Arabidopsis thaliana: one gene and its partners. The protein of the gene in region 1 interacts with the protein of each later gene in a pairwise test. Each region holds a gene or a part of one and is shown on either strand. Other genes may lie near its edges.

Region 1 (7,742 bases):
ATAAGGGGAAGTTTGAACCATGCTTACAGTTTTTGTGTGTTTTCTGGTCCAACTTATCTTTCCATTCCTTAAGCCGTCTTATTTATGTTACACTGACATTAGAAAGAACAAAAAAAGAGCAGAGACTAAGCAGGAAGGATATGGTCGTTGGAGCAACTTTGGTCTTATTTTCTGATGAAGTGACTGCATCATCTGCTGGCAGTCAGCCAGCTGGTGAATAGTGCTGAGCTCGTTCTTGCCCGTGGTTTTGGAAATGTGGTTAGACACACAGATTTTGAAGAGCGATCAAACCTTTATGATGCTCTTCTGGCTGCTGAAGCTCGTGCTCTGTCAAAGAATCCATTCTGCAAACAGACCTAACTGTGGTTAGTATATCATACGAGTCTCGTGCCATGGCTATCAAGACCCTTTGGTAGAGAAGTCTAAATCTCGAAGCTAAGATTTTGTTGTAAACACTCGAGCTAAAGACGATAAACTGATAATGCTGATGCATGTGATGTACACAACCCATTACTTATCAAATTTCAACTCATAAATGTTGTGATCCACATTCAGATTCATGTGAAACTAAAAGCATACAAAAAAAACATGTTACAATAATCGTCTTAATATCAGGTCCACTACTGTTTGTCTATACGGTGATAAATCAAAACAAAAAGCCCCAAAAATCAAAATCTAATCCTCTTTTTATCTAACTCTCACGCCTCGTCTGCCTCTTTCGTGGTGCAGCCACCGCTTCTGCTTTCTCCTCTGTCTTTGCCTCGCTTGTCGAGGTCTCTGCAGCTGTTTCCGGTTTCTTCTTTTCTACCTTAGCCTACATACATACCAAGAATTTCGTTAAGACTCAAACACCCGCCAACCAAAACATTACATCTCACTGACATGTTTTTTTTTTACCTTTGCACCACCAAATATGAGCTTGAAGAAGAGAGAGAGGAAGACGATCACGATGGAAATGAGCACACCGATGGTTAAGTTTGGCTGTGTTTCAGCTTTCTCAATAAGTTCCTACAAACGAAAATTGCAAATTCTCATTTAAGATTCTTCATTATACAATATGTTTCTAAAGTCTGAAAATGAGAACTTACCATAATCTTTGACTTGTACGCACTAAGGAAAGAAATGTCTGCAACCTTGTACAAGAGGTCGAACACCTTCTTCTGCAGTAATGCACATACATAATATAAGTACAAAGGATATGTATAAGCATTCCAAATTTGTGGCGAAAATCAATATACCTGGTAACTCTTGAGACCATCTGCCTCACCAGCAGCTTCATCCTCTGCCTTTTGTTTCTCTTTCTCCACATCAAACTTGGGCTTCCAAGTGCTTTGTCTGTAAGTTTCAGCAACCTTCTCGTCTTTAGATATCAAGATGTTGTCAAATAAGATACCGTCTTGCATTGTCCATATCTCAATACCAATGGCAGCAATGGGCTCCAAATTCGGCCTCTCAAGCTCAAAATAATCAGGATTTGGAATGTCTCTTGGTTTCCAGATTCCCTTGTAAGCTGGGTTATCTATGAGAGGTGAGCTCCATTTGCCCTTGTAAGCAGGGTTCCTCTTCATCGGTCTCTTCCATTCGCCACATCCGGGTGCTGCCTCACACTTGGTGTTGGAAACCTTAGGAGCCTCCCACTCACCATCTTCCTCGTCATCCCAATCTTCTGGCTTGCTTGCCTCGGGGTCTTCAACCTCTACAGGCTCATCATCCAACCATCCTTCGGGTTTCTCAGCTTCCTCATCTTCAATCTCCATGGGTGCATCCTCATCCCAGTCATCAGGCTTCACAGCATTAGGATCAGGAATCTTGGCTCTCTCATCCCAGTCTTCTGGCTTCTTGTCCTCTGGATCAGGGATGGTCTTGGAAGGAATCAACGGAGGCTCAAAGTCTTCAGCAGACAGTAAATTACCCTTCTTCTTCTCCTCACCATCGACCAAAATCCTCACCTCATTATCAGATTTCAAGACCGCAGTGTAGACATGAGAAAGCATGTCAAACGGAACAGAAGGAGGGAACTTGAGATGGTGCTCAACAAACTCGCCACTCTTGGGATTCTTATGCTTCAAGATGAAATGAACCTTGTTGGTAGCACCACACTTATCAGGTCCAAACATGATAGAGTAAGGAGAATCATTATCAAACCCTTGAGGAACCCATCCAGCTTCTTGAGGACGAAGATACTTTAAGTAAGCACCACCACACTCAAGCCCTTCTTGGAAACGAGCCTCGTATTGAAGAACAACAGTTCCTTCGTTAAGGTTTAGAGGCTCATCAACATCAAGCTCTTTAACTATTCCGTACTTCTTAGCTTTCTCACTCACTAGAAGTCCATAATCATCATGCCCTTCACTCTTCTCGTGCTTCCACACACCTAAAAGATTTCAAATAAGAAGCAACCTTTTAAGAGCTCACACAAAGTCTGTTTCTTATCCACTTATAGTAAAAGTAAACATTTCTAAATCTGTTCCAATAAAAACCAAAACTTTAAGACCCCCTTTTGATTGTAACTTCCATTACACTAATTCTAACTTGTTTTTACTTCAACAGACGAAAGAAAACCAAAAAATTCAAAACACGAATTCACTACGACGACATGGCTTTACCTTGGTATTCAGCTTTCTCTGAAACGACCCAGCGACCATCAAAAGGCTCGTCAAACGATTCATACAGGATCTGAACAACAACAAAAACACCATGTTACTGGAGATTCGATGAACAAATCTTTAAAATAGGAACTTTTTCAAGGAAGTGACCAATCACCGTTTGGTCGTCACAGTAGCTAACACTGGGAAACGAAAGCAAAGCTACAAGAAGCAGCGAAACGAATGTAATAATCCGTTCTCTCATTATCGCAATCTCAAGAGAAGAGACAAAACAGAGACTCAAAATCAAATAAGACAGAGAAGTAACTACTAAGTAAGTACTAAGTAGATCAGAGAGAGAGATATTCTTTACTCTTTAGTCCTCGTATTTCTTAGACCTACGAACGTCATTTTGATTGTTATCTTCCAATGAATATCGCTCGCCAACGTGACACTACCCTATCACCTCTCGCCAAGTCATCCAAAACAAAGCACCGACGCGTGCAAAATTTTACCCCACTAGGGCCTGGTCCTGGGCCTTGACCTGGGCCCAATTAGAATGCGAATGAATCCTCGGACACTCTTAGAAGGTTAGGAAGTTAACCATTTTATCTCATTCAAACCTAGACCCAAGAAATTGGTTTCTCCCAAATGAGTATTTTTACTAAAATCGTTAATCCAGAAGAAAATAGAAGCAAAACGAAGTTGTATTATTACTTCGACCGAAATTTCATTAGATAATTTACATGCTGTTGAAACAACACAAATACACTCAAAAGTTGCTTGATCACTGTAATACATCCAAGAGGAAACAGGATAAAACCTTAACCGACCCATTTGAAAACTCTTTGATCTCCTTCAGATGTTTTATTTATCGACAGAAACATGGAAAACAAAACACATAAACCAGCCTTCATAAAAACTTAGTGAGCTGCAGCAGCCGATATCTTAGGATCAACGCCAACATCCTTAAGCGTCAAGGCACGAGGTTTATGAGCAAACTGGTCTTTCCTGATTGGGTCAGAGATCACATCCTGCTTGTCAAACTCTTGAACGTGAGCTATTTTCCTAAACCAAGACCTGTTAGCGAACCGGTCCGCTTCGTTTAGAACTCTATCTGGATCTTCGATCTCGGGAACGGTCTCTCTCATCTTCTTGTTGACACGTACGCCAGGGTTTTCATGTAGATGAAGATACGCAGTGTAGACACCAAATGTTACTGACAATGAAATCAATCCTATGGAGACGTAAACTGGTGTGAAGTCACCTTTTGTTGCTGCCGCTGTGGTGGCGGTTCTCTGGCCACCATACTCTGTTGCCGCCGTAGAATACGCTTTGGATCTTGGTACGGTTGTCGCCTTCGTGTAAGTTCTTAACCTCTGCACTACGTTTTTCAAGTGACCCTTCAAACACAAAATGATAAAAGTCAAATCGTGAAGACCAAATGAATCATAGAGAAACGACGACGTCTTAGGTTACTTACGGTTGATCGAACGGCCATTGGTTGTTCTTGGCGAGTGATTAGTAAAATCTAGCTGAAAAGAAGAGTAAGATTTGTACTTTTTGTTGTTGTGGATTGTGCTATACTTGAGAGCGTTTTAGATATCGGATATAAAAGGAAGATGGAGACATCTGGAGTAGAGAAGAGAGTTGTAGAAGTAATACGTGTAAGCATTTAAGAACATGCAGTTTAATTCGTGGAAGTGTCTTGAAGATCCACGTCAAATCAGATTCCTTATAATTGGGATTCACTGCAGTAATGCGCGTGTTTTATTTCATTGGTTCTGTCAAAATTAAAAATATGAGATATTAATTATATTTTAAATTTGTATGCCTAATGGATAAGACCAAAATTTGTGTATCTTCTTTTACTGGTAAGCTCTAGCAACCCTCGTCTTACCACGCGACATGTGACAATCACATTGCTGCTGTGTCGATGGAACCGTGCCTTGCATCGAGTAAATGAACCAATGGCACGAAAATCCATCAAGTACTAAATGAACCTATGTCACGAAAGTATGTTCTTTTGTTTTTAAGACAAAAATGAAGAGATTAAATATGTTTGGTGTCAATTCTAATGAAAATAGTTATATTTTCTCGTCTTCGTGTTATCGTTGTATCGACATTCAAATTTAAATTCATATAAATATTATGTAAAAAAGATGGAGAAATATTAAAACGACATTTTCAACGTAATATTTATTGTAGCCATTAATTCTATAAAGTTTGTCTATATTTAAGAAATATAAAATAATTAATGCATTTTTTATGGAGTTCTTTTTATTTCATAGTGCCTTTATTTAAATAGTGAATTCAGTACTATTCATAATTTTAATAGAAAAGTAAAAGTAAACAAGTTATTTGGGATAAAGACTTAACTAAAGTGCTATTTGGGATAAGACTTAACTAAAGTGGGCAAATCTTTCTCAATGAGGAAATTAAACAAGTTTTAACTACTGATTTAAATACAATAAATTGATACGAGTTGAACTAGTGTGCTTGGTGCTTACTAGCTCCCACTTTAATGGAATTAGTGCTTATTCGACGTAATTATTTGCTCATTTCTATTTTTGTTATAAATAAAGCGGTGTAAAGAGCTTTACAATCCTATATAAAGAAAGAAAGGCCTATACATTAACTATGTAAACAATATATATAATCGTATTCACATTTCATCTCTACTTTACGTTCTTTTCAAACTATGAATATTTTTCTTTGTATCGTGACTTTTACTCACTCACCACAATTTTTTAAAAATGATGTTACGTACTTTTATCATCAAGAATAAACTAAATGGCTTAAAGAAGCATTGGTCTTAACTGATTGATGATCAAAGAGTCTCTAAGTTAACCACGACTGTAAACTAAAACCTAGCTACGTAGGTCATAACTTTCAGAAGAAGAAAAAGAAAACTCAAGTTTTTGTTATCCTAGTTTTATTAACTGAAAATGTAATTATGAAAATAACTAATTCCATTTTATTTTCTGAAAAGTTAAGTATTTTTTTTGTCAAACTGGTACAAACTCAATATTAGTGGGTTGAGCTGATGAGGTAAGTGGTCCTCGTATGACCACTAAACTAGATCAGCTCCTTAGAAAATTAGTATTTTACGAAAATATATGATCTATTTAGTAAAAAAATCAAAAATGTATATATTATAGCTAGTGGAATGACGACATTTCTATATAATATATATTCTTGTGTGTGCTAATAGTCATGCAGAAGTCAAAAATAAATAGCATGTTTTTTTTTTGACACTATATATTAATTTTACATTATGAATCACTTATTTACGACTACCACTTAATCATTTTTACGAGTTAAACTTCTATTTTTTTTTCTTTATTTAGCAAAGTAGCCCTACTAATAATAAAGCAAGAAAAAGTATTAACGATAAACAGTAACAACAACAATAATTTATGCTGCGAACTTTAGATAACACATTAATATAATTCCAGCAAGTGGAAGATATATAGCAAAAACTATGCCGACGAAAAAATAATTAAAGAATAATTCCATCCCTCTACAGAAACCACCTCGATACTTCTTGTCATACCTTTGTCTGAATATATCTTATTCCACTAGCTTCAACACTATTATATTGTTCAAATCGTTCATTTGCAGTATAATTGAGTTTTTCGACAACTTTGTTAAACTATGGTTCAAATTTAACTTAAAATGTTTAGAATCAAGCGTTGTACTTGTACGTGAAAAGAAAAAGAAACAACTTTTTCTATCAAACAATTTGAACTAAACTGTTGGGGAGAGCCAAATGCTTAAACATCTTTAATGCAATAATGCAAATGGATTTCTTTTAAAAGTAGATGCACGTTATAAAAATGTTTATTAAATTTTTACCGACGTTAGGTATAACTTTCAAAAAGATTCCATGGGTCGAAAACTTAACAAGACATAATTCATGTTTAAAATATATTGTTTAAACAATAATACGATAATAATATACGCCATTATATATATAAGGTTTTGGATATGGGACCAGATGAAGCATTATAAATGGGGTGAAGAGAGACGTAGAAGACTAAAGCAACCACTAACAGTTAGCTTCGTTTTCATTAATCTAAGGAAGGGAAAGAGATATGGAGGAGGAAGAAACCGAGAAAGAAGACGACGACGTTAAGAAGCACGTCGAGCTACGGCTAATGGAAGTTAGCTCGGTTCCGTTATCTTTCTCTGGTTCTGGTTAACAACAGATCAAGGAAGAAAACAAACGGCAAGTCAACAGAGGCAAAGGGAAGGCTACGCCTTTCTTCTTCGTATTTTCTCTTTAATTTTTCTTTCTGTTTTCTCTTATTTTTCCGGTGATGTGTAGATTCTCTAACGAGAAGTATATATATCCCTATTGTTTGTAATAGTTTTATGATCTTGTTGTTTCTTCTAAAACTATCTTTTTATACATTAAGATCCAAGTTACGATTTACAAGTATAGTTGACTCTGACTCTGACTCCACGACCGAACGAAGTCTTTGATATAATGACTATTCACAATCAACCCTTTCCAACCAATTCTCTTGTTTTGGGGACTATCACGGTTTTTGCTTTCTTTTGCTTGTGATCTGTCTGACAATCAGTTATTTAAGAAATTTGTTGATTTGCAAGTTTTGTTTAAATTACTCATTTTACTCTAATTTCTAAATTTTAAGTTAAATCTATATTCTAAAAAAACGAAAAGAAAAGCTCGCTGATTTTTAAAATAAATATAGGTTAAAGCTGAAAACAACATTTAAAACTATATATGTCTAGGTATAACATTGTTGTCATCATTCTGAAACATAGTCTAAAAAAGAATATCAATGATCGCAACAAAACAATAATTGAGATATATAAATCATAGGTGTGTTATAAGTTATATTTTTAAGTCAACGAAAACAGTATAAATATATTGCTGATAACTTCTTCTTTTTTGTTATAAGAGTGTTTTTTTTGTTAAGTTGTTATAAGAGTGTTAACTTTATTATATTGCTGATAACTATTTATCAAAAAAATTTCCATCAAATTACAAATCTATAATTAAATTTTATCACCATAAAAATATATGTCCCAATTTCAAGAATATACTTTTAATATTTTGTTTTCCATTTAATTAAATCAGATCATATACTTAAATAGGCTATACACTTTAAAATATTAGAAAAGTGA
Region 2 (8,640 bases), about 21 Mb from region 1:
TGAACACAACCAGATTCCCACCGAGTTCCTTACCACTAAATCTTGCTTTCTTGCCGGATCAAGTGACATGTGCAGGGAACAATCTGGGAGATTGTACTTCTTTGGTTTCTGCAGAGAATCCTGGTGGAGAGATGCAGTGTGATCCTCAATTACTTGGCGGCTTCATGCAGAACGTGAATCCGTTAGGCGGACAGAAATGGGAGCAACAGAACTGCACCATGCTGAACAATCCATTCGGTAACATTGAGTATCCTCTACCCGCAGATAACATGGTTTTCAGAGACAACAATTCAACCAGAAGCAAAGGCTTGGATGAGTCACTGATGAACCCAATAGACAACAGTCAAGAGTATGTTGGAAAAGCTACTACAATGCTGGATCCAGAGATGAAGTCGGGAAAGCCAGAGAATGACAACCAGCATGATGTATTCGATGACATAATGAATGAGATGATGAAACAGGTAACGCGGTTGTTTTCTTGATTGGATTAAAAGCTTTTGTAGTTTGTAGAAAATGAAAGTGAATGTGTTTGTTGCAGGAGGAGAATAACGGAATGGTGCCAGTGGCTACTAGATTTGGCTTTGATTCATTTCCTCCACCTTAGCTAGTCATCTCTTTCTCTACCAGTTGCATTAAGTTTCTCCACTTGAGACCATTTTCATGTGATTTTTTTAAATTTCTTCCCACATTGTTTCCTCCGACTGTCAATAGATCATAGTACACCAACCTGTTTCATACTCTCTTTTATGAATTGGAATTGAAAGCGAGCCTGTTACAAAAATTTATTTTATAAAGTTTCTGAATAAGTGTTGTTATTCAAAACCAATATACGAATAGTAATGGGCCTAATTGAGATCGTTGGTTTACATATGGAGCTATTTTGAAGTGTCAACAAGAAGAGATATTTAGATGTCGATAGGATAATTTGGTGGGGCCTAGAAACGGCTAGAGGAAGTCAAATCAAAATGTGACTGTATGGCCCATTGTATTGTATCCTTCTTCCCACAGAACAAGGAAGACATTTGTGTCCTCCACCTTTATTCACATTTGTAACTGCTAGACGCTACTAGAACCCTTGCCCTACACGCTTTCCACGTGGCATCCTCTCGTCCCAGCGAAATCTCCTTGATATTATTTTTTTATTTCCTTATAAAGAACAGAATCTCTTCTTATCCTTTTACCTCAAAGAAAACATCGAAATCTTAGAGAAGAAGAAAAGAAAAAGAAGAGAAATGACAGAGAAGAAAGAGATGGAAGTGGTGAAAGGGCTCAACGTGGAGAGATACATGGGCCGTTGGTACGAGATTGCTTCTTTCCCATCAAGGTTTCAGCCAAAGAACGGCGTCGACACTCGCGCCACCTACACCCTTAACCCCGACGGTACCATACACGTCTTGAACGAAACGTGGAGCAACGGGAAGAGGGGTTTTATCGAAGGCAGCGCCTATAAGGCCGATCCTAAAAGCGACGAAGCCAAGCTCAAAGTCAAGTTCTATGTCCCTCCTTTCCTCCCAATCATTCCCGTCACCGGAGACTACTGGGTGCTCTACATCGATCCTGACTACCAGCACGCTCTCATTGGCCAGCCTTCCAGGAGTTATCTCTGGGTTGGTACTCTTTTTTTTTTCTCTTTAACGAATAATCGAAATTGATCCCAAAAATGATTGACTCTGTATATGTGGGTGGTGTAGATATTGAGCAGGACGGCGCAAATGGAGGAAGAGACGTATAAGCAGCTGGTGGAGAAGGCAGTGGAGGAAGGTTATGACATCAGCAAGCTTCACAAGACTCCTCAGAGTGACACACCACCTGAGTCCAACACTGCCCCTGAAGACTCCAAGGGCGTTTGGTGGTTCAAATCTCTCTTCGGCAAATAGATTACACGGCACACAAAGACTTTGTTTCACCTCTTTGATCCTTTTGTCTGTGTAATATACTACCCCCTTTGTCTACTCTAGTTATCTTCCATCATCTGCTTTTGTCTATTTACGACATCTTCATCTAGTTATGCAAAGTCGTCTCTTTTACCATAAGGAAGCGCACACAAATTCAATCAGATCAAATCTGGGAAAGACAATTCAAATCTTGCAGAAGTTGACATTATGTATTTGGATAAACACACCACACGACTCGAGACTTATGGAATCAAAATAATGCATGCAAACTACAGACGGAATTATATGTATAGATAAGACGATAGAAAAAACAGTCTCCCCCCAGCAAAAGTTTGGTTGACTATATACCCAGCAGGACTTCCAGCTCACAGAATAGTACAGCATGAATTTGTTTTCTTCGCTTGCTTGTAAAACATCTGTTCCAACCAATACAACCAAATCAGATTTTCATGTTGGAAGTAAACATGGTTTACCTAATCTAAATAACGAAGAATATCTTGAGATTCCAGAGGATATGACTAATACATATGTTCCTCCCCATGGTCAGATGATATAGCAAAAAACACTATGATTCTTCGTAGCAAACCTAATAATTCCAAAATCCAACTGTATAGTTCAAACTGCACTCAAATGTCTGCAGGCTGAAGCAGAAAGCTTTTTCAAAGAAGGTATTCTAAATCCACATTCTTCCTCTATTTATCTACCCCAACAATAACATGCAATAGTTCCTCTATCAATCAACAACACTTATAAGCCTGCTAAATCAACAACCCTTTCTAACGTGTTCACCAACTATGCTCAGAGATCGAGACAGGGAAAAAAGGAAACTAAATCTATAAGAATTTCTAGAATGTGACTTTAGAATGTTACCTGTGATGCCATGCTCAAATCTGAGCTCTTCTCCACTAGGCTGTCCAGCTTCTCACCACGGGCTAGAACACTATCAATGGTTTTATGCTACAATACAGAACAAAAAATCAGTCTTACGGAGACAGGGACATCCATCATAACTACCAAGACTTTCTTCTTGTTTTGGTGTTTTTCAGAAGAAAGTAAACTCACCGACAGAACAGCATTTATGTATAATTGGCAAGTATACTGAAACTTAGAAAAGGAAGTACCGCTTATGTATAAGGGTCTACAAGAAAGGACCGGAGACAGCACTTACAAGGATAATCTTTGTCTCATCCAACTCCCTCTGGATTTTCAACAGCTTATCAGCCTCTGCTGGGTCCTGAAGATTACAAATACGGGACAATCCCAAAATCAATTTAAGATCAAATCACTCAAAATCCAACATGGTCATAAAACAATGGGGGCTACTAAAATTAATTCATGAAGAATGAATCATTCGATTGGATTCTAATGTCCACCTAACTGAGCTTAATATAACTACAGTTTTAACAAAATTCACAGTAAAAGAGCGAATACAGTTGCACAAGTGAAGAACCTGAAATTTGTTTAAAGCTTCGGTTAAGTATGGCCAAGGCTGATTGGAGTCTTCTTTTGCAGACCTCCATGACTCACCAAAACTCTTCTGGTACTCATCTAGGACCTGAGACAAAATTAAATGTCAAGCAACCCAAATTACAGGAAAACTTACGAATGATGCATTGAGAACCACTTTCAACATAATGATATTACCTGATTGAGAAGAGAGAAAGCACTTCGAACAGGGTAATGATCGTCCATGAAACCCACCGCGCAAAGGCCATTTCTATTGTAAGCGTGAACCTTGTACTCTAAACCAAAAACAAAATAAAAACACGAACCCTAATTATCCCAAATTCGAGGACTAGAACAATAAGATAGAATCGCAAGAAATTAAAGCCGGGGCATAGTCCAGGAAGATCTAGAATCAGAAACGGTGCACATCCTAAATCATAAAAGTTTCAAAATCGAAAAGCCGATCCGAATTTAGAAATCGAATAAAAATCAAAGAGGAAAGGAGATTGCATTAGATCCGGGAGAAAGAAGATTTGAAAACAATCGATCTAGAGAGGTAGAAGAAGAAGGAGAAGAACCTTCGTGTTGAACAGACTGGCGTTGGGAAGGAGGGGTTCGGCTAGCGACAGTGCGACCGACAAAGACGACGAACTCCTTGACGCTAGATCGCTGGAAATAACCGAAGTGAGAGACGTCCGAAGCGTTGGAGAGGATGACGGGATCAGAAGCTTCGGGAGCGCACTTGAGAACGAGCAAGGCGGTGATCTTCATAGCTGCGGTGGATCCAAGGTTGCGTGAGAAGGAAGCGAGGAGGAGGAAGAGAAGAGGCTTTGGACCTGGATTCCTTACTCGGAGATGCTAAAGGCAAAACAAGTTTTGAGGTGTCGAACCAAACGCAGACGCCTTCTCATTAACATTGAATAATGAATATATACCCTCTTTTTCTTATTCGCTATGTTGAAGTAAAAATTAAAAACCTTTGGTTCAATTCAATTTTATGTGGGCAGTCTCGGTTCGGTTTAGCATATATTGATGCAGAATTGGACCGGAATCAAAGATTTTTCCATCACATAGAATTGGATTTTTAAGAATTTTAAGTCTAGGCAAAAACTGAAACCAAAGAATATTTTAATTTTTGCCAATCGAGTTTTCTTATTAACGGAATATTGGTTTGGTTTAGATCGGACAACTTGGTTTGGTCCGAATGCCAAACTCTAATATTGTCATTTTAACTACATACATGTATGACAAATGAATATAGTACAAAGTCCAAAACTGAGGGGTGTTACACCCATTTGTGCAAAGAAGATGTAAGAAAGCATCAAAAAAAGAAAAAGCGGTTAAGAAGGGAATGGTGGAGAAGAAGAGATAAAAATAGAAAGGAGTAAATGGCCATAAATGGAGGATATGAGAGCAAGTTACTTTTTTTTACCATTAATTAACCTTGTTTGACCCATCTCCTCTTTCTCTTCTTTTTCCTTTCCTCTAACTAAACGAGGAAAACAAGCAGGAGAGGGGATTCATGTTCTTTTCTCGCTGTAAGATCTCTCTTTCACAATTTTCTTAAATGTGACAATTCTGTTTTTGTTACATGTATCCTGACTTTGCTTTTCCATTGGGGTACGTACGTTACACACAAATGCAGGATCAATCAGATAGAGATGCTGAGGTTTTTCATTCTTTTCTCCCTTTTCTTACACTCTTCTGTTGCGGCACCCAAGACTCCTGCTGCTGCCGCAGCTGTTCCTGCCAAGAAATGGCTTACCCTTAACGGTAAGCATCCTTTTACAGAGTATGCCCATATTGCATACTACCATGTTTTTTTTTTTGTTGTTGTTTAATGTTAAGACTTAAGATACCATGTTGTTTGTTTGTTTCTAAGAATCCGTACCTGTCTTTTGTCTTCCAGGACAAGAGCCTGCCGTTGTGGCCAGAGGGGGCTTCTCGGGTCTTTTCCCTGAGTCAAGCATCTCTGCAAACGACTTGGCTATTGGCACCAGCTCGCCTGGCTTCACAATGTTGTGCAACCTTCAGATGACTAAGGACGGTGTGGGCCTTTGCTTGTCAGATATCAGACTTGACAATGCAACCACCATCTCCTCGGTCTTCCCCAAAGCCCAGAAGACCTACAAGGTCAACGGTCAGGACCTCAAGGGCTGGTTTGTCATTGATTACGATGCCGACACCATATTCAACAAAGTCACTCGTATGTCTTCTTCTCTTTCATTTCCTCCCTTCAATGCTCACCACCACCACCACACATTTTCATGTTTTGTATTATTGAGCAGTGGTCCAGAACATCTTCTCTCGGCCTAGCATCTTCGACGGCCAAATGTCGGTTTCTGCAGTGGAGGATGTCCTTGGAACCAAGCCTCCCAAGTTCTGGTTGAGCGTTCAGGTATGTTTTCTTCTCTTTGAGAACATGATTAACCAACATATGGAGCTTTTTTGTTGATTCATCAAAACAACAAACAATGCAAATGTGCAGTACGATGCCTTCTACATGGAACACAAGCTGAGCCCAGCCGAGTACCTGAGAAGCTTGCGATTCCGCGGCATTAATGTCATCTCATCTCCAGAGATTGGTTTCTTGAAGAGCATCGGGATGGACGCGGGCAGGGCCAAGACAAAGCTCATATTTGAGTTCAAAGACCCCGAGGCAGTTGAGCCCACCACCAACAAGAAGTACAGCGAGATTCAGCAGAACCTCGCAGCCATCAAGGCCTTTGCTTCAGGCGTTCTTGTGCCCAAAGACTACATTTGGCCCATTGACTCAGCTAAGTACCTTAAGCCCGCCACCACTTTTGTGGCTGATGCTCACAAAGCCGGTCTAGAGGTCTATGCTTCAGGGTTTGCCAACGACTTGCGCACCAGCTTTAACTACAGCTATGATCCCTCTGCTGAGTATCTCCAGTTTGTGGACAATGGCCAGTTCTCTGTTGATGGTGTCATCACCGATTTCCCGCCAACAGCATCACAATCAATCAGTGAGATGACTTGCTATATATGTTTCCTCAGATAGCTGATTATTAAGAAGAAGCTAAAGCGTCTGTTTTCTTGCAGCTTGCTTTTCTCACCAAAACGGCAATCTCCCCAAAGCAGGGCATGCATTGGTTATAACTCACAATGGAGCAAGCGGAGACTATCCAGGCTGCACTGATCTGGCTTACCAGAAAGCAATCGACGATGGAGCAGACATAATTGACTGCTCTGTTCAGATGTCCAAAGACGGAATCGCTTTCTGCCATGATGCTGCAGACCTCTCAGCAAGTACCACCGCCAGGACTACTTTCATGTCCCGAGCCACCAGCGTTCCTGAGATCCAGCCTACCAACGGAATCTTCTCTTTTGATCTTACATGGGCCGAGATCCAGTCTGTGAAGCGTAAGAAACTGATTTCTTTTCTATAGATTTCTTAAACTAATCTTATTCTCAACTAAGTCACTGAGCATTGGGATATCTTTGTCTTCAGCACAAATAGAAAACCCCTTCACTGCCACGGGCTTCCAGAGAAACCCCGCAAACAAGAACGCCGGGAAGTTCACGACTCTTGCGGACTTCCTTGAGCTCGGCAAAGCAAAGGCAGTCACCGGAGTTTTAATCAACATTCAGGCAAGCCATTTAACTTCCAAATGCTCCTTGACTAACACAAGGAAGCTCCACTAACACTGTTTTTGTTGACAGAATGCTGCTTATTTAGCCTCGAAGAAAGGCTTAGGAGTCGTAGACGTAGTCAAGTCTGCTCTTACAAATTCCACACTCGACAAGCAATCAACCCAGAAGGTTTTGATTCAGTCGGATGACAGTTCAGTTCTATCTAGTTTCGAGGCTGTCCCTCCTTACACAAGAGTCTTGAGTATCGACAAGGAGATCGGAGATGCTCCTAAGACATCCATCGAAGAAATCAAGAAGCATGCAGATGCTGTCAATCTCTTGAGAACTTCCCTCATCACCGTCTCCCAAAGCTTTGCCACGGGGAAAACTAATGTGGTAGAGGAAATGCACAAAGCGAATATCTCTGTATACGTCTCGGTGCTAAGAAATGAGTACATCGCCATAGCGTTCGACTACTTCTCTGATCCTACGATAGAGCTTGCAACATTCATTGCAGGGAGAGGCGTTGATGGAGTCATCACGGAGTTCCCTGCCACCGCTACCAGATACCTAAGTAAGTTTAAACTTCTACAAAAAAACAAAAAACAAAAACATTACCAAGATAAGGCTGATCAATTATATTTGATGCAAATGCAGGGAGTCCATGTTCAGATTTGAACAAAGACCAGCCCTATGCCATCTTACCTGCAGATGCTGGAGCTCTACTCACCGTGGCAGACAAGGAAGCACAACTACCAGCTATTCCCCCAAACCCACCTCTTGATGCCAAAGACGTGATTGATCCGCCTCTGCCTCCAGTTGCAAAGTTGGCCTCCAATGGAACTGAAGGTGGTCCGCCACAAACTCCTCCTCGTTCAGGCACCGTTGCCATTGCTGCTAATCTCAGCCTTTCCTTGCTGGCAATGATGGCTTTGGGACTCCTTTATACAGCCTAAAGAGATTGATCACACCATATAACCTCATATAGGTTGTAACATGTTTGCCCTCAGCGTTTTCAAACTGACACAACTTGAGTTATCTATGTTTTACTCATGTTAACCAAAATATGCATCAAACAGTGATTTGTTGTTATAGATCAAAAGCTCTACAGAAACTTTCTTTGTTGTCATAGGAATGTTTTTTTCGGTAAAGATTTTGAGTCTTGATAATCTTTCATATTTTATTTACGATCCTTCGTTACCACAGTCTCTACTTTCATAGTTGTTGCTTTCTGATAACTCACATTGTTAACACTAATGATCAAGACCAAAGGCCGAGTACAAATTTAAAATAGTAACAAAATTACTACAGTATATAATACAGTGCTGTCAAGTATTTTTAAAATATTCTCGCTCTCTCCGGAGGCGCTAAGTATAAGAACAAAACTAAAAGACCAATAATCTTTGACAAAAGTTACATCAACTACTACAAGAGTATTCTCTCAGAGTTATCCTTATGCGTATTCCCTCCCTATTCTTACACAACTTCGCTCATCCCACACATACTCTCCCTAAACACCTAAATAATCTCCATTGAGCTTGATCTTTCATCGCATTACTGCTACAACTGCTCCGTGGGATGGGAGAATCTCATGTCATCCGTTTAAGCATCGTAAGCTACATTGAGAATCAAACTTTCCTCAACCCAGCCAAAGAGGGCCACAGTTCATCGCTTTTTATTTCAACTCCAGTTTATGACTCTCAGC
Region 3 (6,892 bases), on another chromosome or scaffold:
GAGAATAATAATAATATTGTCCCAGACCAGAAAAAAATCTCTAGCTAAGTAGCTAAAACTTAAGAAATCCAATAACAAACCATCTGCTCAATGTTTGAAGAAGACTAAATCAGAGAGCATATAGGCAGCCATGCAGGAAGCAGTATAGGGAGTTTATAAATCAACTCGAAAAAGGAAATTGAACATTTTGGTAGCGTACCGGTTAAGCACCTGTTTGTCTTGAAACTCTCAAATCCATAAATATCCAGGACTCCAATTATGTACTTAGAACTTGAGTCTTGGCCAATGGAATTATTTATCTTAGTCACAAGCCTGGGAGCAATAAATTTGTAAGCTTTCAAAACTTTATATCCCAGGATTGATAATAAGCCCTTAAGAAAGAAGCCGTTATTGTAAACCTACCAATCAAACAATTTAGAATAGACAATCTTGGCAAGAGCATCTCTGCTTAGTGCTGCACTACCGGGATCAAGAGGCTTTGTAATGCTTTCACCACGAGTCACCATCACCCTATTGCACAAGGAGTTCTCTAGAGCTTTCTCATCACACCTACCCAAAAAAGAGCAATCAGGGTTCTACCTCCCATTGACAAGAAACCTGTAATCCGAGAACACATAATAGTGAAGCATATACATGAAAAGTTTTGCAGCAACTTTTAGATGGAACCGGGATTTATCGTCCTTGGGTTCTGCACCATCTGATTCTTCGCTCTTTGCAAACTCAATGTTTCCTAGATGAAGGATAGCAGCAACTACCCGAAAGATTGCATCCTACAAAAGTAAAATGTAAGAAGAGTTATCCTCATTGCTGATCATGTCAATGAAAAAACAAAAGGTACCTGTTCTTCAGGACTAATTCCAACAACGTCCATAGCTTTCCTCGTAGCTAGGTATTCTTTGGAATCATCAATTGCATCCAATGCATGGCAATTCGATTGATTTAGGTAGTGAAATGTGCTTGGTTTCCCTAACTGATACCGCTCAGTTTCCTGAAATTTCAGAACAGAAGCTAGTTTTCAGTATGAATCCCATATATGGCCAAGCACTGGACATACAGAGCCTTCATATGTTCGACCTGATGTAAACATACAAGGGACCATGTTTACCTGTTCTGGCGCAGCGCAAAGCATGTAAAAGCAATGATAGTTTCTTTCAGGATCAGAAACTTGACAAACTCGTGACCTCTCCAGCAAATATGTTCTAATAGCAGCTCCTGAGATTCTTCCCATATGATTGAACTGAATCTCCACAAATTTACCAAAACGACTGCAATATGAGATTTGCCTACATATGTCAAGGTTGACTTCAAGAACATACATAAACTTGAAAAATCAAGAAATGTGAATGACATTCCACCTTGAATTATTGTTTCTGACGGTTTTTGCATTACCAAAAGCTTCTAAAACTGGATTTGACTGCATAACAGGATCATAATACGAGAAGAATAAGAAGATATCTACAGAGAGAAACTCAGTGAGTCTGTCTCTAGTAAGAATGTAGATGCATTGTAAACAGACTATCTACCTCCAAAACTTGCTGTTCGACAGATCGTCCTTCACTCTCAGCTTTTCCACCCATGTATGCAAGATATTGCATGAGCATTTTTGTGCTCTCTGTCTTCCCAGCACCGCTTTCTCCACTCACCAAGATCGCCTGGCTTACTCCCTCGTTGATCATTTTTCTAAATTTATATTCTTGATGATGGTGAGGCCCAAAAAAAAATGATAGTGCAACATTAGTTAAAGTTTCATCTATGCAACAAAAGATTACCTGTATGCAGAATCAGCAACAGCAAAAGGATGTGGGCTTAACTCGCCAAAATCTGTGCCCTTATATTGCTCCATTATCTCATTTCCATATAGGTGGGGTAATCTTTTAAAGGGATTCACAGCTATCAGTATATTCCCTGTGTATGTCTGTAACCATCAAGAAGAAATTAGCTTGCTACAAACACTTCAGAGAAATATTAATGATATTGCTATAACTGTGCAGTAATTTTCAGCAAAACAATGGTAGAGATAATCATAGAATTCATAAGTGGGTGTAATGAAAGAAGGAAAACTGACAAGAGTTACATGCTGAAGCGTACATATATTTCATTTGCATTGTATCTGGCTTTTAGATTGAGAAGAACCCCTGGTTCATGCAAATACGCAAGCTTTGTCATGTCGTCCACACCAAGCTCAGGAAACTCAGGATCCTTGGGGTGGACAGCATTAACCTTTGCCACAACCTACAAACAAATGCATCACAAATATGAGCAATGTATTCTTAAGGTACCTTAAGAACTAACACATTGTCTCGTTGCTTTGGAGAAAAGGGACTAACCGTCTTGGTTTGGCAATTAACTTTGATCTCTTGACCGTTAGCTTCCACAACTTCTCCATCTAGCCAGGCTTCATCTGGATCTTCCACCCAGACCTGTGACCCCACAGTTACCTTCACTGAAGCCTGATTAAAGTAGAATATATTAGAAACAAATAAAAAAAATATTGTCAAGCTTCATTAGCTGGTTCTTTTGTTCTCTTTTAGACACATCTTATAATGAAATCTAAAATGTAAGGGGCAACATAAAAATCAGCTCAAATAGCAATTATGGTTACAGAAGATAAAAAAAAAAAGGTAAAAATGAAGAACACGGAGAAATCGCAATGCAGATAAGAGAAGAGAGACTCGTACCATTATCACGGCCAAATCTGGTCTGATTTTCCTAGAAATGATCCCGAATAAAGATTTCCAACGGGAGAAACATTAGAAAAAATCCCTGAGAACCCAATCAGCTGGTGTTTCCACACCATGGATCCAAACACCATAAATCAAACACAAAACGCTTCTCTCTCTCTACTAGCTTCAAAATCTCTGATCGACGTTATAAATGCGGAAGATTAAGACTACATTCACGTTTTACGGACGATATTTCAAATTTCTCCGACGATTACAGAGACCTTAAACCCTTCGGCTTTTGCCTTCCAATATTTCCCCAGGAAAGCTGGAGATTCTCGCAGAACGTAAGAAATTTTCTCGCGTTTTCCCTCGGAATATTCTCTCCTGGTTTTTTTTTGTTTTTGCCTTGTTTGATGCTTCGTCTCTCTCTCCCTCGTTTCTGGAAAAAGGAAGAGAAAAGAGAATCCACGTAGGCGTGTCAGGTCAGACATTTGATGATCTCGAAATTACCCCTGCAATTATACCGGATTTCAGTTCTAACATTTCTCCTGGACCAAGCCGGTTTATAGTATTCGATTCTAATGGAGGAGATGATGACAACGTGGCGCAAGTTGAGTGTGTCTATACATGGAGCAGAGCATTTTCTTCACTGTTCTCGCTTCGCCAGACGTTAATGGCGGATAGAGGAGCTCTTTCGTTACCGCGAGCTTCTACTTATCTTAGTTTCTCAAACCTCCATGTCTGGCGATTCCACAACCCTAGATCTTATCCTCCCTCTCGTTCTCAACTCCTCTGTTTCTCTTCCTCATGCTCTAGAGTAACTTCGGCGAAGATAATTCAGCTGAACCGCCGGAGATTCAGCTATAAAATATGCGCCGCCGCTGATGACGGTAGGGGATACCGTTTGACGGAAAGGGGAAAAAGGGGAAGGAAGCGGCGGGAGCTATGGGAAGAACTTTTTGAAGATAATGTTGAAGACGATGATGATGAAGATGATGGTGGTGGTGGAATTGGTAGTGCTAATTTTGACCTGTGGAAGATCTTAGAGGAAATTGTAGATAATGTTTGGATTTTAAAGGTAATTAGTTTCAATCATGCATCTTTTAAGCCTTAATTATGAAATTAGCCGGGAATCTACTACTGCTAATTGAAAATGCTGATTGATTAAAGTATCAAAATTGTTCTTTGGTAATGGTTATGGTGATCATGTAAGAAACAGTTAATATCGTTGTGTAGTGAATCTGAACTAGTTTTGATTTCTAACTAGATAGTGTCTTTCTGCTCAAAGATAAGAGAAACGGCTTTGTTGATATATAGCTGCATTTTATTTGCATACACCAGATTTTGCTCTCTTATTGTTGGTGTGGGATCTTTATTGTGTTTGGTTTATGTTCACTTTGTAGGCATTCAAATCGTATGGATATCTCCTCCCATTCATCATCTTATCGCTTTTCTTCAGCACCGGACCCAAAGCTTTCCTCGTGTCACTAGCCGTAGCAATCGGGCCATCATTGTTATTTTATGCGTTCCAGAAGTTGATTGGTTGGGATAAACGCAGAGGTACATCAATAGCAAATCAATTCGGGATAGAGGAAGAAGAAGAAGAAGTGGAGAGAAGTAGTAGCAGGATTCGATACAACCCATCAACCGTTAGAAACAATGTCAATGGCCGTGGAGTTAACCGTAGTTCAGCTGGAATGGCTTCTAAGTTTGGTGGGTGGGACGAGTTAGACGGGCTTGGTACCACCATTCCCGAACGGCCAACAAGCGAACCGAAGAAGAAACCGTTACCGAAGAGGAAGAGAGTAAGAAGAGAAAAGGCAGCAGAACCATTATTGTTGAGATTGTTGGTGTCTTTGTTTCCATTCTTAAGCACATACACAAACATGCTCAAGTGAAAAACCACTAAACCAAAACAAACCAAGTTGTTCAAATTAAACCGAACCGAAATTGGTTAAAAATAGAGAATAATTATGAGCCTCAATTTCAGTTTGAGCATCACCATTTCTTTTCCATGACTTTCCTCTTATCAAGAACATTTATTTCTCTCACTCTCAGACCTTCTTGTTCGATTTCCATGGCGAATTTAACGACGAACGCTAAAACTCGCCTGAGAGGTGTTGTATTCGATATGGACGGAACCCTGACTGTTCCGGTCATCGATTTCGCCGCAATGTATAGAGCTGTTCTTGGTGAAGATGCTTACAAGCGAATCAAAGCAGAGAGCCCTAGTGGGATTGATATTCTGCATCATATTGAGTCGTGGAGTCCTGATAAACAGCAGAAGGCGTATGAAATCATTGCTGATTATGAGAAACAAGGAATAGATAAGCTTCAAATCATGCCTGGTACGGATTCATCTGCTTTATTTTTTTATTTTTGATTTTGTGTTTGCGCTGAGGAAGTGTTAAGGATTTGGGTTTTCGTCTGATAATCTATCGTAAAATGGGTTAAAGATTGAGAATTTCGTAGAGTTAAAGATGAGAAAAGATTGCAAATTCAAGGCTGAAAGATAAAATGAACATTTGTTAAAAGTGAAGACTTTATGGTCTAACGGAGGTTTGACTTTTGTCTTAGAGCCCCACATCACGATTTGAGATCATTCCTTTACTGGTCATTGACTTTATGCTGTTGAGTTCTATAAGATGATTTAGCAGTTGAAAATCTAGAAGGAGTACTGTGTTTCTTTGGCGTTTAGAGGTTTAATTCTCTTCTGATATGTGATCATTTATGTGGCAGGTACTGCTGAACTATGTGGCTTCCTTGATTCCAAAAAGATAAAGTCTGTGGTTTTCAGATACTTCTGTCTATGATTTTTTGTTTTCTTGTTCAGATAACTTGACTGTTGTTACATTTTGTATTTTACTTTATAGGAGGGGGCTAATTACACGCAATGTTCAAAAGGCAATCGACATCTTCCATCAACGTTTTGAGGTAAGAATGTTGAATTGAAGACATTTTGACAGCTGCCTGAGATAGGTTTAGCTGGATCATTCTTTTTTTTTTATCAGAGAGAAGAAATCTGAGGCAGTTCCTTACAGTTATTTTTCATTGTATAGGTTATCTTTTCTCCAGCACTAGGCAGAGAGTTTCGTCCATATAAACCAAACCCAGACCCGCTGTTGCATATATGTTCTACATGGGACATCCAACCTAATGAAGTCATGATGGTTGGTGACAGCTTAAAAGATGATGTGAGTGACAGACATGATGACAAGCCTTTGGTCAACCCTTTCTCCATAGCAAATCGATAAGCAATGCAATGAAAGAAGCTTAAACAATGGATCTTCTCATGCCATTGCTTAAAGATTTTCTATGTGGAAAGGATGCCTACCAACTTTTCAGACTATTTTTCTCACATCTTTACTGAAGATTACAACTGGTAATCGATCTTTCTTTTCTCGATTCTGCAGATAGCATGTGGGAAACGAGCTGGAGCCTTCACTTGCTTGCTAGATGAAACCGGAAGGTATGGACCAGACGATTTTTCTGTTTCCGGTCTGCAACCTGATTTTAAGGTTGATTCCTTGTCCAAAATCCAGAACCTATTGGAGACGAACTTCGACCTGAACCCGTAGTTTTTCCAAGTTCCTCATCTTGTAGTTTCAGTGACCAAATTAGTGTCCTACTCAACACAGTATCTGTTCAGGATAGCCATAAATGTCAAACCACGGAATTCTATGCACTGGCTATCTTTAAGTTGCACAATTGTGTCCCTGCATGGTCGTCTAGCGAACATGTGTGTGAGGGCAAACATTGTTGTTTGTTAAATCCAAAATTTCAAGATTTTTAATATCATCTCTAGTCTCTGAATGGCTGAATCTGTTTCTTAGTAAGTCTTCCAACAATGATAGATCTAGTGTGAAATGTGATCCTGCTAAGTGAAAAAGACTTCTCAATCGCTATTAGTGTTTCTACAAGGAACCAATGAATGCATATATCTTCGTGAAGGTCCCAGTGGGGTCTTTTTGCTTCCCTAGCGTCTGGTTAGCACGGTCAGATTATGGCATGTCTTCGCAGAATCATGATACAAACAAAACATTTGTATTTGATGGTGATCTAATGCCATATTCCCAGAATAATGGCGATTGCAAATAAGATCAACAAGGTAAAGTTGCCTCCGGGAAGAACCCATGGCCTGCAAAATCAGAAGGTTTTGGTTTCATATGAATCCCATAGATAGTTCCAATGAAGAAACAGAGGACTACAGAGAATGTTTTGTATAGTAG
Region 4 (8,284 bases), on another chromosome or scaffold:
GAATATTTTTTAATTGAATACGACACTAGATTTATATAATAGTAACGGGCCTTAATGGATCTTATGTACAAGAAAAAACCCTTAGAATATTTGTGTATAAATACTTACATTATCTGAATGAATAAAGCAACCCTTACCAAATATTTCAAATAGTGATTGTCTGAAACAAGCATCATTCGGGGCAAAGAAGACTTACTTGCTTAGTGGAAGAAAGTCTTCATTGAAAATAACACAGCTAGTACTAGCAGAAGTGATAACATACCGAAAGGAGATGAAGAAGTTAAGAGGCAAAAGAGTCGGCCCAATGATGTGAAGACGATGGAAGATGTGACACGAGTTGCAACAAACAAAACAAAAGGCATTACGAGACTCTTTCGTTGTCGTAATTTCTCACCCCTTAAGATATTTGTTTGTTTGGTTGTGAATAGTTTATAAGTAGAATTCCGGTTTAAATCGAAGAATAATATTCGACATTTGCATATCAAGAGGGAGGACTAATTTTACTTTGATCAAACACGTATAATCCTTTATCTTATAAAGTACAAATCACCTAACAAATCATATTATGTCACATGGCTTACTTCATAGATTTGAAAAAAAAAAACAATGAAAAAATGATTAACGGGCAAGAGTAACCTTCTCAAAATAAGGCAGTTTGAGTTTTCAAAATTTATTCACACGATGCCAAGATTTATTAACACATTTTTCACAATAAAATCATGTATGATTAATCATACGCTGGATGGTAAAGAAAAAGCGTATGATTAATTGTTTTCTCAAAGGCGTCACATCTAATACATCATGTATCACAGTTTATACCTTTTCCGCATTCACTTCTACCATATCTTAAATCTTAAATATTTTCTTTGTTTTTGTGTTGTTTTTTGGGTTGAAAAATTAATTGAGACATCATTGTAAAGGTTTGGTTCTAAATTTTATCTTTATATTTCTTAGATTGTTCTCATATTATTTTATCTATGACGAATTACTAGATTATACTTATCATTCATTTTCATATTTTAGTTCCAAACTAAATGAAAATTTTGATGGTTATATTTTTATGTTTTTAATTCAAAATTACATATGTATAATGAAAATTACATTTTTGCATATTTAACGATGGAGTTTTGAAAATATCAATTCCCACCATTTCACAAGAAGAAAATCAAATTCGGAAGATCCATCTCCATTTTCTACATGAAATAAATTATTATAATATCATATATAATATTTTTGTAAAATTTCTTACATACTTCTTTCTAATCTCAAATAATGTTTTGTCCAACAAATTACATCAAATGGTTTACAAGATATATGTATCCTCTCTTAGGAAACTGACAACTAAACTAGAAATATTTTAGGAAGATATGCAAAACTACCATTTCTTACTACTCTTTTGCAACAATACACTTTTATGTTATCCATTTTAAAAAATACCACTCATCTGAACAGAATGACCAAATAACCCTTATCTAATAAAAACATGTAACTGGAACTGAAATTTTCCCACCAAATTTTTAGTGCCAAAATTTACTTTTCCCGCCAAAACAAAATTCCGCCAAACTTTTTTCCTGCCAAAAAGAAAATTTCCCGCCAAAATGTTTTTCCCGTAACAAATTTTTTCTCAACCAAAATAATCCTTTTAAAAATCCTTAGAAAGTTTTTTAAAAGCTTTGATAGTTATTAAAAACCCTTATAAATCATTTTAAAATCTTTATAAAGTCTTTAAAAACATATGTAAATACTTTAAAAATCCCTTTTAAACCTTTGTGAATCATTTTAAACCTTTTACAATAGTTTTAAAAGGATTTACAAGGATTTACAATGATTTTTAAACCTTTGTAAATCCTTTTAAAATCTTCTTAAAACTCTTATAAAGTCTTCACAATCATTTTTTAACTCTTAGAAACAAATTTGTTAGTATTTTAAAACATTTATTATTCTTTTTGAACCATTTTAAAACTCTTGTGAACCTTTACAAAAGGTTTTAAAAAAACTTACAAGAGTTTTTAAAGGATTTTAAAACTCTTGTAAATATTTTAATTTTTTTTTAAACTATTGTAAATCCTTTAAAACCCTTGTAAACCCTTGTAAACCATTTAAAAATCTTTTTAAAACTCTTGTAAACCCTTTTAATAATTTTGAACCATTTTAAACTCTTGTGAACCTTTACAAAAGGTTTTAAAAAGATTTATAAGAGTTTTTAAAGAGTTTTCTTTTAAATTCTTTAAAAATCTTTTAAAAACCCTTGTAAATATTTTAAACGCCTTAAAAATTCCTTGTAAATCTTTTAAAACACTTTTAAACCCTTTAAAAATCTTTTAAAACCCTTTAAAAATCCCTTGTAAATATTTTAAAACCCTTTTAAACCCTTTAAAGATCTTTTAAAATCCCTTGTAAATCTATTTCCAGCCAAAAAAATATTTTTGCGGGAAAAATGTTTTTGAGAAAAAAACTTTGATGGAAATTTTTTTTTCGAAATTTTTTGGTGGGAAATTTATTTTGGAATATTTTAGGCGAAAAAATATTAATATTTCATTTTGTTAACCTAAAACAATTTCGAAATATGAGTAAAATGGTCATTAAAAATTTAAAGAGGTATAAATGAAAATGGCAAATAAGAAAAGGTAGAATTGAAAAGGGGTAGTGTGGAAAGGACATTCTGAGCAATTATTCAATATTGTATGACTACTAAATTCTCATATGCAAATGTGAAATCAAATTTGTATTCAATCACTTGTTTATATAATGTCTGGTTCTTTAGATATTAGCTCACTTCAGGTAAGAAAACAAAATGTGGTAGCCTCATTACTTCATTAGTGCAAAGAAAGTGATTCTTTGGGATAAATTTGGATAATTTTGAATCAAAGCTGTAGTAGGACAATACACTTTTATAGTATTTTTTATTAAAGGGAAAACTCAACATCTAAAGGCAAGGAATATCCAACAGTTTGAACGCTAAACAATCAAGGGACAAGCAGAGCGTTTTCTAAATAAAGTTGCCGTTCTTTGAGAGCCGAGCTCGAACCGTAATCTGGCTTCATCACACACATAGTTCATCTTCCCGGTCGTCCCATCTCTGCAATCAGGAAAATGCAACCTCGATCCAAACCTCATATCACCTCTTTCCTTAATATTCTCCATAATATCTTTCACAATCACACCATCCATATCTCCTTCAGAGGCAATCGATGTAACCTTAAGCAGCTTAGGCCACCACGGTTTGATATTGTAACTAAATACTCACAAGAGTTAATCTATGTTAGTTTTCGAAACAAAAGAAATATGTGAACAAAACTAACAACCAAGGAGTGAAATCTTTTGAGTCCACATGCAATATGTGATACAACGAGGATTCATCCCTCTCAGTATAGACTAGTTATTCTGAAACATAGCTTCCTCACTACCGCAAGAATCCCATGATACAACAACTACGCTCTTACAACAATGGTTAATTTGATCACGATTCAATAATCATCTACCATGATTCACTCTCTTTTTGGTTAAAGTTCAAAGTAATATTTTCGCATTTCTTTGATATAAAACGATGTCGATTATTTGGTTCATGACTTTTTATTTCTCTTAGTTTCACAACAACTTCGCTCTCACAACAATGGTTAATTTGAGCACTAACCAATGACCAATTGACCATGCATGATTCACTCTCCTTTTGGTTAAGTTCAGACAGTGTAAAAGCTTTTCTTGTTACAAAATGCTGTCGATTTTTTGGTTCATCAATTTTATTAATTTCTTTTGCACTTTCACCAACACCTAATATTAAAAAGAAAATAAAAACAAGATCCACCAATTCAATGCGATAGGGTAAGTGACTAAATGTTCATTGCCGTTGTCACCCTTTGAACCCAATTTAGGACTCAAAGAGCCGTCTGATTATATTTAACCTTGGTCGAAGTATTTCTAACGAGCTGGTAAGTCCTCATTGGTCCATTATATTCACTGTCCACAATAATTTTAATTACTTGTACGACTCGGTTAACTCCTTCTAGGAAAAACTAAAGTGTACCTACCTAGTACATACGTACTTCTTCATATTACCACAAGTTTTTTTTTTTTTTTCTTGCATTCAACTACGTGTTTAAAGTTTCGGCCCCAAACTTCGGCCCAAAAACAAAAACCAAATAAACTATTACAAAAATCTTTGTTATCATATCACACTATCATTTCAAGTTTTCAACCAATCCATACTCTTAACAATCCCATTAAATTGAGATTTATTCATATTAAGAAATTATGCTGATAATATTTAACTACCAAATTAGGCCGATTCATACCAAAACTATAGAATATGTACTAAATAATTCCATTACCTTCGTTTAGTCATTTTTGGCGGTTTATTTCTTTTGGATAGATCTCATGTCAGACCTTTTTAGACTATTCATTATGGCACCTACCACACTAGTGTGTCTCCATCTTCTGTATTTATATACATATATCATAAGTCAGAACAAAGAGAAAGCAAAGAAGAGAAACTAAAACAGAGCTTTTTTCACATGGGAAAGGATAAGACTTTGCCGTTGCTTGACCCTCGTGAGCCACCGGAACTCACCGGAACCAAGTCGGCGTCAAAAGTATGGGCCAAAGAGTTCGGCGAAGAGTCGAAGCGGCTTTGGGAGTTAGCAGGACCAGCGATTTTCACTGCCATAAGTCAATACTCTCTTGGTGCTCTCACTCAGACTTTCTCCGGCCGTCTCGGTGAACTTGAGCTCGCCGCCGTCTCAGTTGAAAACTCTGTTATCTCCGGTCTTGCCTTCGGTGTCATGGTATGTTACGTAAACACCCTTCACACGTGTCAGGTTCTTGGTAATGGATAATGTGTTCTAATAATAGCCACAGAAATAAAAGTCAATATTTGAGGACTTTTTTTGTATTAATTAATATCAATATTCGTTAATATCAATGAAGTAGATTTTCCCATACATTTAAAATTGTTTCGTAATTGTGATTAAGTAAATCCTAACAGTGTGTTTTATATTCAAATAAAGTAGATATATTAATGTAGTTGAGTTCAGTGTTATAATATTTGTTATACAAGTAATCTCTACGAGGGTCCTTGTGTAAGCTCTCTTGAATTTTGTTGCTTGTCATTTAAGTTTCCTATGAAAAAAGCTTAGAGATCAAACAATATAAACATTTTGATGATGGAAAATGGTGGCAGTTAGGGATGGGGAGTGCATTGGAGACGTTGTGTGGACAAGCATATGGCGCGGGACAGATTAGGATGATGGGAATATATATGCAACGTTCATGGGTCATTCTCTTTACTACTGCTTTGTTTTTGCTTCCCGTCTACATTTGGGCTCCTCCTATTCTTTCCTTCTTCGGCGAGGCTCCTCACATCTCTAAAGCCGCGGGTATCATTCTTGTTATTCCTTTTTGCCAATTGGTTTTGAGTTTGGAGTCAATGTTCACGTAACAACTTCTGCGTTGTTATAATTTTCAGGGAAGTTCGCATTGTGGATGATCCCGCAACTATTTGCCTATGCAGCCAACTTCCCGATACAGAAATTCTTGCAGTCACAGAGGAAAGTTCTTGTGATGGCTTGGATCTCTGGAGTGGTTTTAGTTATACATGCAGTTTTTAGCTGGCTCTTCATTCTTTACTTTAAGTGGGGACTTGTAGGTGCAGCTATCACTCTCAATACCTCGTGGTGGTTGATTGTTATTGGTCAGCTTTTGTATATCTTAATCACCAAATCAGACGGTGCGTGGACTGGATTTTCTATGCTAGCGTTTCGGGACCTCTATGGATTTGTCAAACTTTCCTTAGCCTCTGCTCTTATGCTTTGGTACCTATCCAATTTTTTTTGGCTAGAAGATAGCTTTAGACTTACGTTAGCTGAGACTTCGCTTGTAATGAAAGGTTAGTTGTTTTTGTTTTGCAGTTTGGAGTTTTGGTACTTGATGGTTCTGGTTGTTGTTACCGGTCTCCTTCCTAACCCGTTGATACCAGTCGATGCCATCTCCATTTGGTAATCAATTTGTGCTGATCTTTGGTTAGTTTCTCACTGAAAATAGGTTTGTTTAGTAACATATTTTATGTTTTGGGGTTCACAGCATGAATATAGAAGGGTGGACTGCCATGATTTCGATCGGGTTTAACGCTGCGATTAGGTAAGTTCTCTACCTTTATGTTTCAGGAGCCACATTTGGAAAGCTAATAAAAATCTCATGAACTGGTGAACTTTGTCTCTTGGTGTGATCAGTGTGAGAGTATCGAATGAGCTGGGTGCAGGAAACGCAGCGTTAGCCAAATTCTCAGTGATAGTCGTCTCCATAACTTCAACTCTTATCGGGATAGTGTGCATGATTGTTGTCTTAGCCACAAAAGACAGCTTCCCTTATCTTTTCACTTCAAGCGAAGCTGTGGCAGCAGAAACCACGAGAATAGCCGTCTTGTTGGGCTTCACTGTCCTCTTGAACAGCCTCCAGCCCGTCTTGTCAGGGGTTGCGGTTGGAGCGGGGTGGCAGGCTCTGGTTGCATACGTGAACATTGCGTGTTATTACATTATCGGACTACCTGCTGGTCTTGTTCTTGGATTCACACTAGACCTCGGCGTTCAGGTTAGCTATTTACTAATATGACCATTTTGTATTAGCCTTGTTCTTTTTAATCTGGTGTTAAATCATTTGTATATTTTTGTAGGGAATATGGGGAGGTATGGTAGCTGGAATATGCTTGCAGACACTTATATTGATTGGAATCATCTACTTCACTAACTGGAACAAAGAGGTCTCTTACTTTGTCTTTTAGTTGCTGCTATGTTCCTCCTTTGTGTTTGGTTTGATCATTTCATTAATTAGCTTTGAATTCTAAATTATGCAGGCTGAGCAAGCGGAGAGTCGAGTTCAGAGATGGGGAGGAACGGCGCAGGAGTGATCAACAACTCCCTTAGGACGTGGACTATATCAGTTATTGATCTTTTTTTGTCAATGTTCAATGTTGAGAAAATTGTTTATCGGAGAACAACATCATCTCTTTTTGTTTTTTGATATGCTTAAAGTTAACGAGTCTCTCAGTGATTGTTAGAGGGGTACGGTTTGTTATGTGTTAGACTTATGTTAGATTCTAGGATGGTTGTTGCTAAGCCAAAGTTCTTGATTAATTTTAAGTATGAGATTTAATCTTCATAAGCTTGTTGATCCTTCGTTTTTATTTTAATGGTCAGACTTGATCCAATGTTTATGTTCATTTGAAGGCGAAGATCTTACCGTTTGTCAAACATAGCTAATTAGTGGTGGTATTAGCAACAGATCTTTAGGACTGTCGTTGATCTGTTGCAACTCAGTCACTAAAAATTAACAAATCTTATATAAACAAGAGGAATATTAAAAAGAAAAAAAGAAGATGAAAATGAATATCAAAATAGTTGTGTGACGATACAATATATTAGAGATGGACTACAACAATTCATGAATCAGGGTCACAGACTAACCGTTAAAGCAGTAAATTTGTCTGCCCATCTCATAAGTGTTTGAATTAAAATTTAGGTCAGTCGAGAGCTGTGTGCTATATACTAGATAGTCTACCCTTAATTACTATGTTTGGTTTTCGCATGGAGATTTACTATAAATACACAAACAAGTAATAGTGCTCAAATTGTGAATCAACCCATGCACTAATCCTTTTCATCAATTCGGTCACGGTTAGGATAATGGATTCCGTAATATGGTAACAAATGCATTTTCTGAAATATCAAACTAACATCATTTAATGATTATATTGTTTGATACATTTTATGATATATCAAACTCTGTAAATCAACCAATATATATACAATTACAGTCTAACTTATCTTTTTTTTTTTTAATCTGTGAATGGTTTAGATTTGCATGGATTTAAGGACATAACTAATTAATAATGGTTTAGCGTCTTGTTGTTTTCCTGTTTGGGCATGCGTGCTTCTCTTGAGTCTTTTGACCTTGTAATCTCTATTATTGGAAATTTATGAAGAAAAAAAAGAGTACTTGTCAAAAGATAATCTTATAGTTGGGTTTTACTGTAAGATATTGAAGTTTCGATGTTTTACTTATATCTGAAACGATTGATATTTGCAATAATAATAGTACGATTTTTTTTTGAAATATTATGAAAATCTACAAGAGCTCCGATTTTGTGGTAAGTCAAGATCGTAAATAAAGACAAAATTAACTCGAGTCTCATGCAATGTTGTATATGGTATACAATACATCAATAACCTATTAATTAAACTTTGTAAAGATAGTAAAAATGATTATTTTGGTTTACGCTATCGTTCCCTTTTTT

Evidence for each region.
Region 2: the proteins of AT5G07340 (region 1) and SVL4 interact in a protein complementation assay, tested with the Arabidopsis thaliana proteins (one large-scale study listed by BioGRID).
Region 3: the proteins of AT5G07340 (region 1) and AT2G33250 interact in a protein complementation assay, tested with the Arabidopsis thaliana proteins (one large-scale study listed by BioGRID).
Region 4: the proteins of AT5G07340 (region 1) and AT1G47530 interact in a protein complementation assay, tested with the Arabidopsis thaliana proteins (one large-scale study listed by BioGRID).

Annotation. Positions count from the first base shown.
Region 1 is NC_003076.8:2,312,408-2,320,149, reverse strand, and holds AT5G07340 (Calreticulin family protein), read right to left. Parts: upstream 2,938-7,742; 5' UTR 2,851-2,937; coding exon 2,740-2,850; intron 2,677-2,739; coding exon 2,607-2,676; intron 2,375-2,606; coding exon 1,239-2,374; intron 1,161-1,238; coding exon 1,089-1,160; intron 1,009-1,088; coding exon 898-1,008; intron 815-897; coding exon 692-814; 3' UTR 501-691; downstream 1-500. Other genes in the region: Tudor1 (TUDOR-SN protein 1), read left to right, coding at 1-28, 107-129; AT5G07330 (NFU1 iron-sulfur cluster protein), read right to left, coding at 3,509-3,988, 4,069-4,086. UniProt on the Arabidopsis thaliana protein: Calcium-binding protein that interacts with newly synthesized monoglucosylated glycoproteins in the endoplasmic reticulum. It may act in assisting protein assembly and/or in the retention within the ER of unassembled protein subunits.
Region 2 is NC_003076.8:23,493,749-23,502,388, reverse strand, and holds SVL4 (SHV3-like 4), read left to right. Parts: upstream 1-4,787; 5' UTR 4,788-4,879; intron 4,880-4,986; 5' UTR 4,987-5,002; coding exon 5,003-5,114; intron 5,115-5,250; coding exon 5,251-5,547; intron 5,548-5,629; coding exon 5,630-5,739; intron 5,740-5,829; coding exon 5,830-6,328; intron 6,329-6,404; coding exon 6,405-6,725; intron 6,726-6,813; coding exon 6,814-6,953; intron 6,954-7,025; coding exon 7,026-7,509; intron 7,510-7,592; coding exon 7,593-7,891; 3' UTR 7,892-8,140; downstream 8,141-8,640. Other genes in the region: RR18 (response regulator 18), read left to right, coding at 1-461, 539-604; TIL (temperature-induced lipocalin), read left to right, coding at 1,233-1,607, 1,692-1,877; YKT61 (SNARE-like superfamily protein), read right to left, coding at 2,261-2,311, 2,766-2,852, 3,064-3,129, 3,346-3,450, 3,540-3,629, 3,698-3,771, 3,920-4,112; FIP1[V] (FIP1[V]-like protein), read right to left, coding at 8,389-8,445.
Region 3 is NC_003071.7:14,094,118-14,101,009, forward strand, and holds AT2G33250 (uncharacterized protein), read left to right. Parts: upstream 1-3,251; 5' UTR 3,252-3,336; coding exon 3,337-3,741; intron 3,742-4,066; coding exon 4,067-4,561; 3' UTR 4,562-4,634; downstream 4,635-6,892. Other genes in the region: XID (myosin XI D), read right to left, coding at 211-312, 403-549, 634-770, 839-988, 1,106-1,265, 1,356-1,414, 1,524-1,680, 1,770-1,915 and 3 more; AT2G33255 (Haloacid dehalogenase-like hydrolase (HAD) superfamily protein), read left to right, coding at 4,678-5,011, 5,403-5,445, 5,537-5,597, 5,723-5,857, 6,077-6,241; AT2G33260 (Tryptophan/tyrosine permease), read right to left, coding at 6,723-6,801.
Region 4 is NC_003070.9:17,447,213-17,455,496, forward strand, and holds AT1G47530 (MATE efflux family protein), read left to right. Parts: upstream 1-4,340; 5' UTR 4,341-4,511; coding exon 4,512-4,781; exon of another isoform or gene 4,782-5,075; intron 5,076-5,176; coding exon 5,177-5,372; intron 5,373-5,461; coding exon 5,462-5,807; intron 5,808-5,903; coding exon 5,904-5,990; intron 5,991-6,075; coding exon 6,076-6,132; intron 6,133-6,224; coding exon 6,225-6,582; intron 6,583-6,664; coding exon 6,665-6,751; intron 6,752-6,844; coding exon 6,845-6,898; 3' UTR 6,899-7,249; downstream 7,250-8,284.